Linked DNA regions of Caenorhabditis elegans. The protein of the gene in region 1 purifies or fractionates together with the protein of each later gene. This does not show direct contact. Each region holds a gene or a part of one and is shown on either strand. Other genes may lie near its edges.

Evidence for each region. The genes of interacting proteins can lie anywhere in the genome.
Region 2: the proteins of ddx-23 (region 1) and rbd-1 fractionate together in Caenorhabditis elegans (co-fractionation; one large-scale study listed by BioGRID). This does not show direct contact.

The regions. Positions count from the first base shown.
Region 1 is NC_003281.10:5,848,308-5,855,041, forward strand, and holds ddx-23 (putative ATP-dependent RNA helicase DDX23), read right to left. Parts: upstream 4,963-6,734; 5' UTR 4,957-4,962; coding exon 4,885-4,956; intron 4,812-4,884; coding exon 3,234-4,811; intron 2,813-3,233; coding exon 2,557-2,812; intron 1,883-2,556; coding exon 1,796-1,882; intron 1,501-1,795; coding exon 1,424-1,500; intron 760-1,423; coding exon 637-759; 3' UTR 531-636; downstream 1-530. Other genes in the region: cct-6 (T-complex protein 1 subunit zeta), read right to left, coding at 5,510-5,904, 5,951-6,666, 6,720-6,734.
Region 2 is NC_003282.8:12,723,260-12,730,638, reverse strand, and holds rbd-1 (RRM domain-containing protein), read right to left. Parts: upstream 5,654-7,379; 5' UTR 5,650-5,653; coding exon 5,428-5,649; intron 5,378-5,427; coding exon 5,092-5,377; intron 5,040-5,091; coding exon 4,227-5,039; intron 2,694-4,226; coding exon 2,030-2,693; intron 1,345-2,029; coding exon 1,149-1,344; intron 1,104-1,148; coding exon 666-1,103; 3' UTR 544-665; downstream 1-543. Other genes in the region: T23F6.3 (RING-type domain-containing protein), read left to right, coding at 6,049-6,122, 6,240-6,866, 7,313-7,379.

The DNA of each region.
Region 1 (6,734 bases):
CCCCAGTGAGTCTTTCCTCCGTGAAAAACCGTGGATTTGATCTTCAGGTTTACGAGACCTTTTGAGAGCATGTCGGCCCATTTTTTTTGACAACATTATGATTTTGTTAGGTTTTATTCCTTGGCGAAGGTTTTTTGGAAAAACGATTCGAACACGTCGACGAACTTCTTATTTTTATAATTATCTAACATGTACCCAACCTTTAAAGATTTATTTATTTATTTTCAGTTTTCCTTTTTTCACAATAACTAGTAAAACGTATTTCAAAATACTATTTTATTTTATTTTAAAAAAATTATGATCAGTGTGGAGTGAAATATTTCAGATTTTTAAACTTTCAATTTCGTTTCTTAAAATCGAAAAATTAATTATTTTGCTTCCTAACATGAGAATTCATTTAATTTGAATTTTTCCACGAGACTAGCTTTAAAACACACATTCTCCGAATAATGTGCTCTTGGAAATCCGACAGAGAGCAACTTTTCATGATCATTTTCCTATTCTGGAATTAATAATGAAATTTGAACGGAATGATGGGGTCAGGAGTATTTATTTAACAGATCTGGTAGAACAATCATATAAAAATTGAATAAATAAATATAAATGTTGAGATTTTCCAAACAAAAAAGAGAATTATCACTTCAAGAACAATGTTTCATCTTGTCGTTTCTTTGATGTAAACACTCCAGGCTTACTCTGTGCATCCGGATGATTCGCAAGTTCAGGTGGGCATGATGACACTGGCGATTCGACCAGAACCTGGAAAAAATACGAGTTAAAATATTTTTATTAAAAGTATTTATTGAGTGATACATTTTCTTTTGAAACTTTTGAAAAAAAAAACTTTCAAAAACGATTATCTTGGAATTAGACGGAAATTTTGAAAATTAAATTCAAAACATTCATTAACGACTTAATTAAAGGGCATCTCATCGAATTAACCTTATTCGAATAAATTTTTTTCGGAGTTGTTTCTTTTTTTCATTGTAATTTTAATTCGCTTGCAGTAACTACAGTAACCCAAAAGTGGATTTTTTTTTTCTAAATTGTTCAAGAACGCTTAAAATATTTTTTTTAAATATTTTATGAAACGATTAACTGATGTTTTCATTTTTAACTACTTATTTCATCGATTATCTTTCAGAAAACCGAATGCAAATCTTTTCTTTTTTGTTGATATTTGGACAAAAAATTAAATTTTTTTTGTTGGATTTTTTATCTTTAAAAAATTTTCATTTTTTCATTGTTCTTTAAAAATAAAAATTAAACTAAAGTCCTCAATTTTTCGTTTTTCTTGTTTAGTTTCTTCTTTAATTTTTCGCAAATTTCAATTTTTATTTTTCGACCTAAAATCAAAACAAAAATTTTTTGATTTTTAGGTCCAATATCATTTTTGGTGTCCGGTTTCCGTCACAATTTTTACCTGCTTCAAGTCGAAATAGACGGCAGTATCGTCAGGTGTGAGGAATGTGATTGCTTTTCCATGTTTACCAGCTCGACCTGAAATTTAAAAGAAATTATTATATGTGATCAAGAAGAAAAGTGTGGAAGTTTTCAGATGCTAGTAGCTTCAAAATTTATGAAAACTTCTACGCATTTTTTTTCATTTTTTAAAATTTTCTTTAAATAATTTCTTACTGCTCCGCTGTTCTTTATCTTTTTTCCGTTGTAATAAATCATACTATGTGGAGATAAATTTTAAAAAAATGATGTCCTCAAGAATCTCATATTTTCCCAAAACAGAAAATTACACTTCATCAAAAAATTTCCACAGAAAAAGTGAATAAAAACATACCAGTTCTACCAATTCTGTGAGTATAGTCTTCAATTGATTTTGCCATATCGTAGTTGAGTACCAGTGATACATCTTTGACGTCGATACCTGAAAATTAAGTGGATATTATTTTGATTTTCAAAACTTTGAATTTATAATTTTTTAGTTACATTTCGAATCAAACCTCTTCAATTAGTTTTTTTTTTAAATAGGGGAATCTCAAATTTTTGGGTTTTCATTCAGAAGAGTTTGAAACTTTCAAGAAACGTTATATACCGTATATTCTCTATTAGAGCGGCATGCCGCACTAATTTCCGGGCCCTTCGCGACGTGCGCTCTATTAGAGACTGCCGTTCTACTGGATACTGCCGCACTAATTTTCGATAACTAATTTTCATATTGAAGTTACTACTGTTGGGAGTAGTAACCTCAAAATTTCCTTATAAAACCTCATATTTTATGGAAAAATTCGTGAAAATTGTGTAATTTTGCCTCACAAAGACACTAAAATTCAATATTTAAATGAAAATTTATGAATTCATTCAAGAATGAACAAAAATATCTTCGAAGAAATCGAATAATTGAGGTGGCTCTCGCACCCAAAAAAAGGGGTGCCACACTAATAGAGACTGCCGCTCTAATTTTCGAAGAGCCAGTTAGGGTGCCGCTCTAATAGATACGCCGTACTATTAGATACGCCGCTCTAATAGAGAATATACGGTATATATATACTTGAAAAAAGTATTTGAATCAACAATTTTTTTCCAAAAAAAAAAACGAACCTCTTCCAGCAACATCAGTAGCCACAAGAATATCACTCGTTCCTTCTTTAAGAGCCTGCAGAGCGTATTCTCTTTGATCTTGACCTTTTCCTCCGTGAAGAACTGTTGGCTTGAAACCAAGTTTGGTAAGACCTTTTGAGAGCATATCAGCACCTTTCTTCTGATTGACAAAAATAATAATCGGTGGTTGGAATTGTGATTCGAGCACTTCGACGAGCTTCTTACGTTTACGATCCTCTGGAACCATGTAGACTACCTGAATACGAAATATTTTGGAATTTTTAAAAAACTTGAAATTTTTTTGAAATTTCTTACTAAAAAATACTAGCCTCTGAAAAAAGACACTGAAAACAGAATTCCCCCTTTCTGCGTGGTTTCAATCCAGAGATGGGACTTTTTTTTGGCATTTTTTGGTAATTTGACGAAAAATTAATTTTTTGATTTTATTTTTTAGAAAACCAACAAAAAACCAAACAATTTTTCACTTTTTTCAGTTAAAAAACAATTTTTTGGGTGTTCTTAATTAGTTTTTAGCAAATTTTAGTTAACAACTTTTATGAAGCTACTTTAGGAAGCTGCCTTAGTTCTAGTAATTTTTCTAGTTCAGCTTAATGTCGAAATATGAAAAACGATTCTCATAATTATTTTTCTTTTCTACCAAGAATAAAATAAATTACCTGTTCAACTCTTTCTGTAGGCTTTCCAGCAGATCCAATATGTACAACTGCTGGTCTTCTGAGATATTGTCTGGCAAGTCTTTCGATAGCTGAAGACATTGTAGCTGTGAACATGACAGTTTGTCGATATTTCTCTCTTGTTGAGAATCCCTTCATCAAAGCTTCTTCATTATCGAATTCATCCGTATCTTTCTTCATATTTGTATCTGGCATGTACTCCAGAACCTTCTGAACATCTGGTTCAAATCCCATGTCAAGCATTCGATCAGCTTCGTCAAGGATCACATAGGTACACTGATTCAGGAGAAGATATCGATTTTCCAGAACATCGAGAAGACGACCTGGTGTTGCAATGACCACTTCAACACCCATTCGAAGCTTCATTCCTTGATCTTCTCTGCTGGCTCCTCCGATTACTGAAACGGTCTTGATACCGAGAAGCTTTCCGAACTTGTTGGTTTCCTCTTCAATCTGCTGAGCCAATTCTCTTGTTGGAGCCATAATAATAGCATATGGACCCAAGTCCCGATGTTCTTGTCGTTCCATTTTTGGAAGGCTTGTGATCCATACAAGCAGCGGTAGAAGGAAAGCTGCAGTTTTTCCTGATCCAGTTTCAGCTACACCGATTACGTCACGATTCTGAAGACCAATTGGGATGGCTTGTCTCTGAATAGGTGTAGGTTCCAGATAACCAATTTCTTTGACAGCTTGGTAGACTTCATCTGGAAATCCAGCTTCTTCCCAATTACGAAGAGGTCGTGGAACTCTGCCTCCTTTAATAGAAATATTGAAATCTTCACGGAAGATACGCCAATCTCTGTCAGACATCTCAGAAAGTTCTTTCATTCTCCAATGACGATCATCATGAGCCACTTTCTTTTCTTTTTTCAGTTCTTTTTCAAGGCGATGCATCTCTTGCTCTTTCTCATCAACAGTTCTTCGATTTTCCATCATTTCCTGGTAGAACGAGTTCTTCTCTTTTTTCTGAGCATTCACATCCGTTCCAGCAACAGATCCTCTTCCAAAGAACTGAATTTCATGTCGACTTTGATATAATTTGTTATAATCCTGTGATGTATCCTCTCCAGCATCCCAATCAAAAACAAACTTTTTCTCATGAAGTCTCCGTCCTCTTTTCTTCTTTTCCTTCTGTTTTCCAAGATATCTGTCTTTAACAGCATCTGCCATTTTACTAACATCTTCTTCATTATCACTATCCTCGTTTCTATCTCTTTTCCGATCATCATTTCGATCCCTTCTATCTCTACTTCTACTTCTATCTCGACGCCTTCCACCATCACGATCACGGCTCCTGCTCCTTCGTCGTCTATCTCGAGAACCACTTCTCTCCCGACGATCCCGTCGACGATCACGATCACGTTCCCGTTCACGGTCTCTGTCACGATCATTGCCTCGGTCAAGTCCACGATCTCTTCTATCGTCTGATGTTTTTTCGGTGCGTCCCCAATTTTTTCGAGCTTCTTCAGCTTGTTTTTGTGTTTCACGCAGTTTTGCGACCTCCTCTTCTCTTCGTTTCAGAGCCAATGCGGCCCGCTCGGCTTTTGACAGAAATTTTGGCTGAAAATTTGAAAATGGTTTGGTTTTTAAAAAATATGCGATGTTTTTTGAGATATTAAAAAATAATACATACCTTTGCCAATTCATCTTCTTCTCTTTTCTTCTTTTCCAGAAGTTCCTCAAGTGATGGAGGTTCAGCAGCCATTTCTCTGGAATTTAAGAACTTAAATGTTTGGAAAACTAATTAAAAATATGCTTTTACAATGGGAAAATGTAAAAAAACCAATTTTTAACATAAACCTACAGAAATGCATTCACCCTTTTCGTATATAATACACGCGACCGAGGTGGTATTTGTTAGGCCGCGCTCTCTTAGCGGGACATTCGAAAATGTCAATTCTCCGAATATCATATTAATTTTCTATAGAAATAAAGCTTCGCGCACATACACAACCGGAAACCAATCATAATAATATTAAAAGCAAGAAGCCTTTATTGCGCAAAATCAAAAAGGAACGTGCATGAAAAAATCAACAAATTCTCAAATGAAAAGCAATAAATTTTGATGAAAATTTAAGAAATTGGGGGATAATAAAGAAAAAGAAAACAGATCGATCTTTGTTGATTATCGCTCGAAGAAAGCTATAAAAACAAACGGTAAAGTTGGGCTTGTTGAACGGGATGGGGAATATTATCAAACACGGCAACAGATCATAGAAACGGACACACTGGGGGGAATAGAAAAACAATTTTAATATTTATTCTGGTTGTGGCTGCTTCAAGTTGGTCATACCAGCGCGCATCACTTCATCAACAAGCAAGAGATTGCATGCAAGTACTGTCGCCGACGAGATACTGTTCTTCTTCACCGTCACATTGTCCCAAATTCCTTGTGGCTCGACAGCTCCTCCGGTTTCGAGATCGAGTCCAACGGCGATATCTGGTCCAGCGGCGGTTTTCTCCTCAATAAGCTTAACAAGTGTTTCCTGAGCATCATATCCTCCATTTACGGCCAGTGTCTTTGGAATAACGAGAAGAGCTTGAGCAAACGCTTCAGCTCCGAGCTTGGCACGTCCCTTCAGGTTCTCAACATCTTTTTTCAACATCACGTAGGCAGCAATTTCGAAAGCAGCAGCTCCAGGGAGAACAGCCTCTGAAAATAGGTTACTAGAACAGAAGTTAATAAAATTTAAACTCACTGTCAACGATGGTGTTGAAAACAGCACGAAGTCCATCATGAATAGCATCCTTGATTTGAGTGATGGTATGCTTGTTTGGTCCCTTGATAAGAAGAGTCACAGATTTTGGAGCACGGCATTCCTCGATAAACGTGTATTTCTCTTCTCCAAGGGAATGCTCGTAAACGAGTCCAGCCCATCCAAGATCCTCTGGAGTCAAATCATCAACTGAGTTGACGGCTTCTCCTCCGACGGCCAGCTGAAGACGTTCCATGTTACGTCTCTTGGCACGACGAAGAGCAAGAATTCCTTCGGAAGCAAGCAAGTCAAGAGATGGAGGATCGATTCCTTTCTGGTTGATAACAACGAATCCCTTATTCTTACCATCTGGAGAATTATCAATAACCTTCTTCTTCAACTCAATAATCTTGTGAACACGACGAGTAATGAATTCACGTTCGGCAGCGAGAAGTGCCTCACGTTCCTTGGCGGTCTTGTAGAAAAGTCCCGAGTTGACTTCAGTCTTCTCGTATTCCAAAGAAACGTTGCAAGTGAGAATGTAAGCGTCTTTAACGTGTCTTGGCATATCTGGGTGACGAGCTCCATGATCGAGAACTAATCCACGAACAAGTGTGGTATCCATATCACTGTCGTGGTGCATTTCCATCTTTTCAACCATATGAAGATCTGGTTCCTCTCCATCACGACGGATTGCCAAAACGGCGTCGACAACGCATCTGAAATTAAGAAGATAATGTTTTTTACTACTTTTTAATTGTTTGTTTCTTACTCGGTGATGTGATCA
Region 2 (7,379 bases), on another chromosome or scaffold:
AATGTCATTTTTCAAAAATCCGCCGCAATGCCATTTTTCAAAAATCCGCCGCAATGTCATTTTTCTGAAATCCGCCGCAATGTCATTTTTCGAAAATCCGCCGCAATGCCATTTTTCTGAAATCCGCCGCAATGTCATTTTTCTGTTAGAGGGATTTTTTATAAGACGGAAACACTCAAAACTGTGTCTTTTTGAATTTTTTCCTTTTTTTCTCCATATTTTCATATAATTTGCTTACTTTTCAAAATACATGTAAGAACATTCGTAGGATGCGTTTAATTTTGCCATTTGAAATTGAAATTTTGAAATTTCCAAAAAAATAAGTGCAAAACCACAATTTGCCGAAAATTTTCGGCAAATTTTCAATTCCGATTTGCCGGAATTTATCCGATTTGCCGGAAAAATCGTTTGCCGCCCACCCCTGTTTCATAATTCGAAAGTTTGGTTTTTTGGTCCAAAATATTTTGTGTGTCAGTGTTTTTATTTAAAGCATGCTTGTTTCTAATTCCATCTTTCGTTCCGAAAAATTTAAAAATCTGATTTAAAAAATTGTTTTTTTCATTTATGTATTTTTAAACTTAAAAACTTTCAAAAACACAACAAAAATCGGTGAAAAAGATAACAATATAACAATAAAAAGTAACAGAAACAGGCAAAAATAACAATTAATCCTTTTCATCATCGGCAATTTGCAACTGTTGCTGGAATTCTTCAGTTTGTGCTTTCGATTTTTTGACTCCTTTCTTATTTCCAGCAAACTTCTCGGCCGTCTTTTCACGAAGTTCTTCCACAGTTTCATCGTCTTTAGCCCATTCCAAAACTAAACGTCTTCCGTACAGATGAGTAGAGTGAACAAGAGAATCAAATGCTCGATGAGCCTCATCTGCCGAAATAAAATCGACGAATCCGAATCCACGATGTTGTTGCTTTTGTCCTGGCTTTTTAGGAATACGAATGGTTTTTACAGCTCCAAAAGTTTCAAAAAGAGTTTCAACTTCTTTAACTGATGCTTCAAATGGTAGATTTCTGACCAAAAGCTTCGTACATTCTCCCTGCTCTTTTTGCTTCACTTCCTTTCGTTTTAGAGCTCCCTTGTCGGCGTTCTGAATAAAAAATAAATTTAAATATTTCCATTATAACCTCTATACCTCTCTATGCGAAATCTTCAATTCTAGAGAATGACCATCAAGAAGCTCTCCTTGCATATCTTTCAGTGCAGTTTTCGCGTCGAATGCAGTGTAGAACTGAACGAATCCGAATCCCATGGAAAGTGGCTTCGTTGGCTCCGCTGGATTGAGCTTCTTGGAGATTTGCGCAGATTTAACGAGGTCTCCATATCGTTTTCTGAAAACAAAAACCATTTATGAAAAGATTCTATTACACTTGATAGCTGCGGAATTTTCAACGATTTTTTTTTCTCATGATTTGTTTAAATTTAAGTGTTTTTTTAATTTGAGTTTTTTTAATAAATAAAACATTTTATCGAAAACCTTTTTTTTTTAATTACATCACTATTTGGATGATGATAGAAAATTGACCGTAATACCAAAAATTAATTTTTAAATTAAAAAAATAATTTTTTTTCGGCAGAAATTTAAAAAAAATTAGCTTATTATTTTTTAATTCCCGCACAATTTAATCACTTAGTTTTGATATTTTCTCGTTTCCCGGCTATATTTATTTAATTTTCGTTATAATTTGTAAAAATTCGCTAAAACTCCAAAATTGGCATAAAACTCAAATTATAATTATTTAGCGAAAAACTGTCTGAAAATTTGGCAAACAGTGTTTTAAATTAATTATTAAAGAAAAAACAAAAAATTTCAAATCTTTTGCAAAATTGAAAAAATTAACATTTTTATATTAATTTTTTAGATTTTTTACAATAATATTTGGTCATTACGGTCCTACTCCACCATTAAAGGCGCACACCTTTTTTTTCAATTTATCAAAAAATTGTCGTGTCGAGACCAGGTGGCATAATAATCGCAGGATTTCGCATGTGGATAATATAGATTTAATTCCATACCTGAACAAGAATTCCAAGCTTCCATCGGTAGTGTCGAAAGCGAGATTTTTGACGAAAAGCGTACTTCCAGACTCAATTTCCTTTTCCGACTGCTTCTTGGAAGACTTTTTCTTATCTTCAGCTTCAACTTCTTTCGGTTTTTCTTCCTCTTCTATCACCTCTCCGTCATCCTTCTCTTCTTCAGTAATACCTTGCTGCCGATTCTTTCTTTCTTTTCTTTTCTCTTCATAAGTCATTTCTCTCTTCGATAATTTCGGTTTATCAGCTACTTCTGCAGTCTTATCTTCTGCAGGTGGTGCAGTTGCTCCCATGACGTCATATGGAGCCCATTCCAAGTACAAGGGTTGACTTCTAAATCTTGAATAAGCTAAAGCTCTGAATGCTTTCTTCGCGTCAACTGGATTTCCCATAATGACAAGTGCACTGACACCTCCTTCCGTTGGCATCAGAACCTTCGTACAATCGCCAAATTTCTCGAACATTCGTTGAAGTTCTTCAGATTCGACGCCAGCAGGCAAATTCTTTGCAAGCATTACAGTATCACTACGTTTTTCGGCTGGTTTCGAGAATGCGTCGAGTTTCACACCGTTTTCGAGGAAGAAATCACGAGTTTCACGGACGAGACGAGTTTCAGCAAGAGCGAGACGAACTCCAGCTGATTCACCTGAAAATAGAAGTTAAATAAGCATAAATTAAAGAAAATTTCAAAAATTCATTAAGAAACATTTGTTATTAAAACATTTCAAATAGGTGCCCGCAAAAAAAACTGAATCTAAAAAATTTTTGTGCTATTTTTTAAATCAAAATGAGTGGTATTTAGAAAATTAATGTAGAGAAATATCTGAAATTTTGTTACTTTTGACTGAAAAAAATCGATTTTCAGAGGAAAAAAGTTATTATTTTACCCCAAAAAACGTTGATGTACAGAAAATCAACAATTTTTTTCCGAAAAATGAGCTTTCATTTAAGATTTTAGGGAAAAAATGTAACTTTTTGAACTATTTTAACTTATTTTTCGTCAAATTCTGGGCTTTTTAGGTTAAAAACAGTGTTTCCCACTATTGCCGGTTTTGTGAACTTTCGGCAAGCAAATGCCGAAATTTGCCGAAACTTCACGAAACCGTCAATTGTCGGAATTGCCAGAAATTCACAAAACCGGCAATTGGTGGAATTGCCAGAATTTTTGAATACCGGCAATTGCCGAAAATTCACAAAACCGGCAATTGGTGGAATTGCCAGAATTTTTGAATACCGGCAATTGCCGAAAATTCACAAAACCGGCAATTGGCGGAATTGCTGATTGCCGGAAATTCTGAATACCGGTAATTGCCGGAATTGCCGGAATTGCCGAAGTTGCCGGAAATTTCCGGAAATTCACAGAAACCGACAATTGCCGAAATTGCCGAAACTTCACGAAACCGGCAATTGTCGGAATTGCCGGAAATTCACAAAACCGGCAATTGGTGGAATTGCCAGAATTTTTGAATACCGGCAATTGCCGGAACTGCCGATTGCCAGAAATTCACAAAATCGACAATTGACGGAATTGCCGGAAATTTTGAAAACCGACAATTGCCGAAAATTCACAAAACCGGCAATTGGCGGAATTGCTGATTGCCGGAAATTCTGAATACCGGTAATTGCCAGAATTGCCGGAATTGCCGAAGTTGCCGGAAATTTCCGGAAATTCACAGAAACCGACAATTGCCGAAATTGCCGAAACTTCACGAAACCGGCAATTGTCGGAATTGCCGGAAATTCACAAAACCGGCAATTGCCGGAATTGCCGAAATTGCCGGAAATCAAAATAGCCGGAAATATAAATTTGAAACTTTTTGTAGATAGGAGCCTAAAAATGCATTTCAATGAACAATTTTCGATTTTCAAGGTCAAAATTATGTAATCCTTAAAGGATTGAATGTTTTATGTATTTTTCTGAGAAAATGGCTACCCGAATCTTGTAAAAACGTGGTGACATTTTTTCAATTTCCAAAATATTATTAGGTTTGAAAATTGCCGGAAATTTCCAAAACCGGCAATCGCCGAAAATGCCGGAAATTTCCAATTTCCGCACTGGTTCAGAGTACTGTTCTGCGGCTAAATATTTTGTGGTCGCCTATTCAGAAGGTTTTCTTTCAAAAAACACATAAGTTTCGAATTGTAGTCGTTGTTACTTCAAAATATATTCCAGATCTACCTTGATCACTAGTCAATAAATCAGATTTCTTGACATTTAAACGTTGAGCCAATGTATCTGCAATCGCATTGGCTCCCAAGAACAGAGCATTCCACGAATGGGCAGTTTTCCCGGCGGAAGCTTTTTTCTGTTCATCTTTCTCCTCTTTAAACGACTTCTTTTTCTTTTCTTTCTTTGCTTCAGCCTTCAATGGATTATCTGGATCATCTGGAACAACTTCAGATTCTTCTTCTCCTTCTTTCGTACGCTTCTCATCTCCTGGTAAAATATGCATCATACGTCCTTTGAATACATATCCATCTAGTGCCGAATATGCAGCAACTGCAGCTTCTGGGAATACAAATTCAACAATTGCGAATCCTTTGCACGCGCCTGTCTTCTTATCAATAACTACTTGAACTTCAGATACTTCTCCGTACTTTTTGAATAAAAATTGTAGATCGTCTTCTTTAGTGGCGTATGGTAGATTTCGAAGAAAAAGACGTCCAGTTTCAAGAATCTTTTCACGAACAGTTTCTTCCTCTTTATCTCGACTTTCCAACGATGCTCCATGCTCTTCTATAACTTCATGCTCCGGTTCTGGAGTTTCAATCTTTTCAATTCCAATTTTAAATCCTCCCAAGAATTGTCCATCTTTCTGAAGTGCTCTTCTAACATCTGGTGGTCTATTGAACGTTACAAATGCGGCGGCAACATCCTCATTTCTAGCGATTTTCATGGCTTTAACACGAATCGGATTGAGCCATTCTTTGATATTTTTGCCTTTTGCTGAACTTGGAAGCCCGGAGAAAATTAGCGAAAGTGAGGTGTCACCTGAAATATTAAAAACCATTTTATATATTAAATTCAAAAATGTATTTTTTACCTCCAATTCCGTCCATGAGCTCTGCCATCAATTTCTTTGCTTCTGCAGATTTATCTTTACTCAATTTCACTTCTTTCTCAACTACAACTCCTTTTGCTTCTAAAAATTGATCAAATTTCGCATCGTCCTTCTGCTTTTTTGGAGCTGGTTCTTCGGTTTCGTCTGATTTTCCCGGATTTGCTTCTTCTTTCTCTCCATGAGTACGCTTGTAAGCACTTGAATCTTTAGCATACTTGCTCCAGGCTCTCGGCTTGTTTGCATCACCAAATGGACGACATTCTTCAACCTGAAAATTCATTTTTTTTTTAAACAAAAAACGTTAATTATCTGACTCACCGTTAACTTTTTCGAATTAAAAAATGTTTGATTCGATTTGGCTAACGCATTTGACGCAGATCCTTCGTCTAAAAATCCGACAAAAGCAAATCCACGGAATTTTCCTTCCTTTGTGTACTTTAGCGACGCATCGGAAATCTGACCATATTTTTCGAAAAATTTCCGTAGTTGCTGTTCCGTGCAGGTGCTAGGCAAGTTTTTGACAATTAATCGAGTTGTCATGTGTCTGGAAATGGAATCTCAAAGAAAAAATGAATATTTTCTGGCAAAACCAGGTTTTTAACGAGGAAAATGGGTAAAAAATAAATAAAAATGGGGGAAGAAATCCGTGTCGATTTACGTTAAACAAAGCGGCCTGTGGAATGTCGGAGCGTCGTAGTCATAGCGCGAAATTGAAATTGGAGACCTCACGAAGAAGAAAGATTTAATGTAGTGCAGAGATGAAAATCTAAGAGATAGGAAAACAAATTCACGTTTTAAAATATTAAAATTTCTGATTATTGTTTATTCACGCAACGAAAAAAGAAAATACACGCCATTTTCGCAGAAATACGGATGTGAAGTTTTTCAAAATTCATTCCCTACTCTAGTTTTATAAAATTGTTCTACTCGATTCTCGAAATGGCTCCAACACGTACTTCACGACGCAGTTCAGCGAACTTTTCATTCGACGATGTAAATGTTGAGGAACAGAGGTGAGAAAGAGACTTGAAGTGGCTGCTAATTAGAAAGTTGGTGGCCGATTTTTCTATTTACTCGGCCATGTAGCAAAAGCCGTCCAGTGCAAAAAAAATCAATATTTCGTTTTTAAGGCAAGCGTATCTCCGCTACGAACAGGAATTGAAGGATCTCGCACTTGCTCGAAACCTTGAGAATGAATTGAACTGGGGGCCAAATCCAGCCAACCCAGCGCCTCCTCAAAATCCTCCACAACCTGAAACTGTTCATATCCAAGTGAATCGAGATAATCCTCAAGCTCAACAACAAAATCTGACAGGAACCATAGCTCCAGCTGGAAGAGAAGGTACTGGAGTACAGGTGGCTGCTGTGGCCCCGGATCCCACCAGCGCAGCGACTGGGTCACAAGGACAACCAACTCCCCAGAATGCACAAAATCAGCCAACAATCAGAGCCGCAGCTGGAAGAGAAGGTTATGGAGGCCACGTGGACGTTTTACCGGCCGTTCTTGCAAGAAACTTGCCGTCACAAGGAATCAATGAAAATGCCATAACCCTTGATGATGACGAATCTGAAGTCAAATTGTCAGACTCTTTTGAAGCTGCTCCATCGAATCAGCCAAGCACATCACAAGGCACCTCAAATCATGCAGCTCGAGTTGGCTCACCGATCGGCGCACGGGGAGAGTGTACCGTCTGTTTTGAGACTCCAGTTGACCCACAAGGCTGTAATCGATGCATGAACGTTATTGGATGCAAAACGTAGGTTTTTGTGGCCGTGAAAAGATAAAACTCGGTCACCGTCGTATTTTCTTGAGAAGTCACTGCCGTTTGATCTTCGAAAATTGCAGTGATTTGGGTAGATCAAACCGTACTGGGAATTTCTGACGCCTTGTAAGATTTGGCTCTAAAATTGGTAATGTGAGCGCTAGAATTATTTTGAGTGAAAATTCGACTAGAATTGAGCATTTGAAAATAAACGCACAAAATAATGTTGCGCTGGTCAATCAGCCTATGCGTATCGTTCATTGGTCGGCACACTTCCACGTGGTGTCAGGCTGTCCCATTGCGGTTTGATCTACAAAAAATGCGGGAATTTTTAGCCAATGACAGCACGTGCACTTCTCGATTGCGCGCGAGTTTGAAAATCATGTCTCAAGCCTCGGCTGGGTTTAATCTGAGCATTTTTGAACACTGTTTATTTCCAGATGTGTTCAAAGGTGGCACCGTTCCTCTACCCAGCCTTCGTGTCCACTATGTCGCCGTCGCTGGATC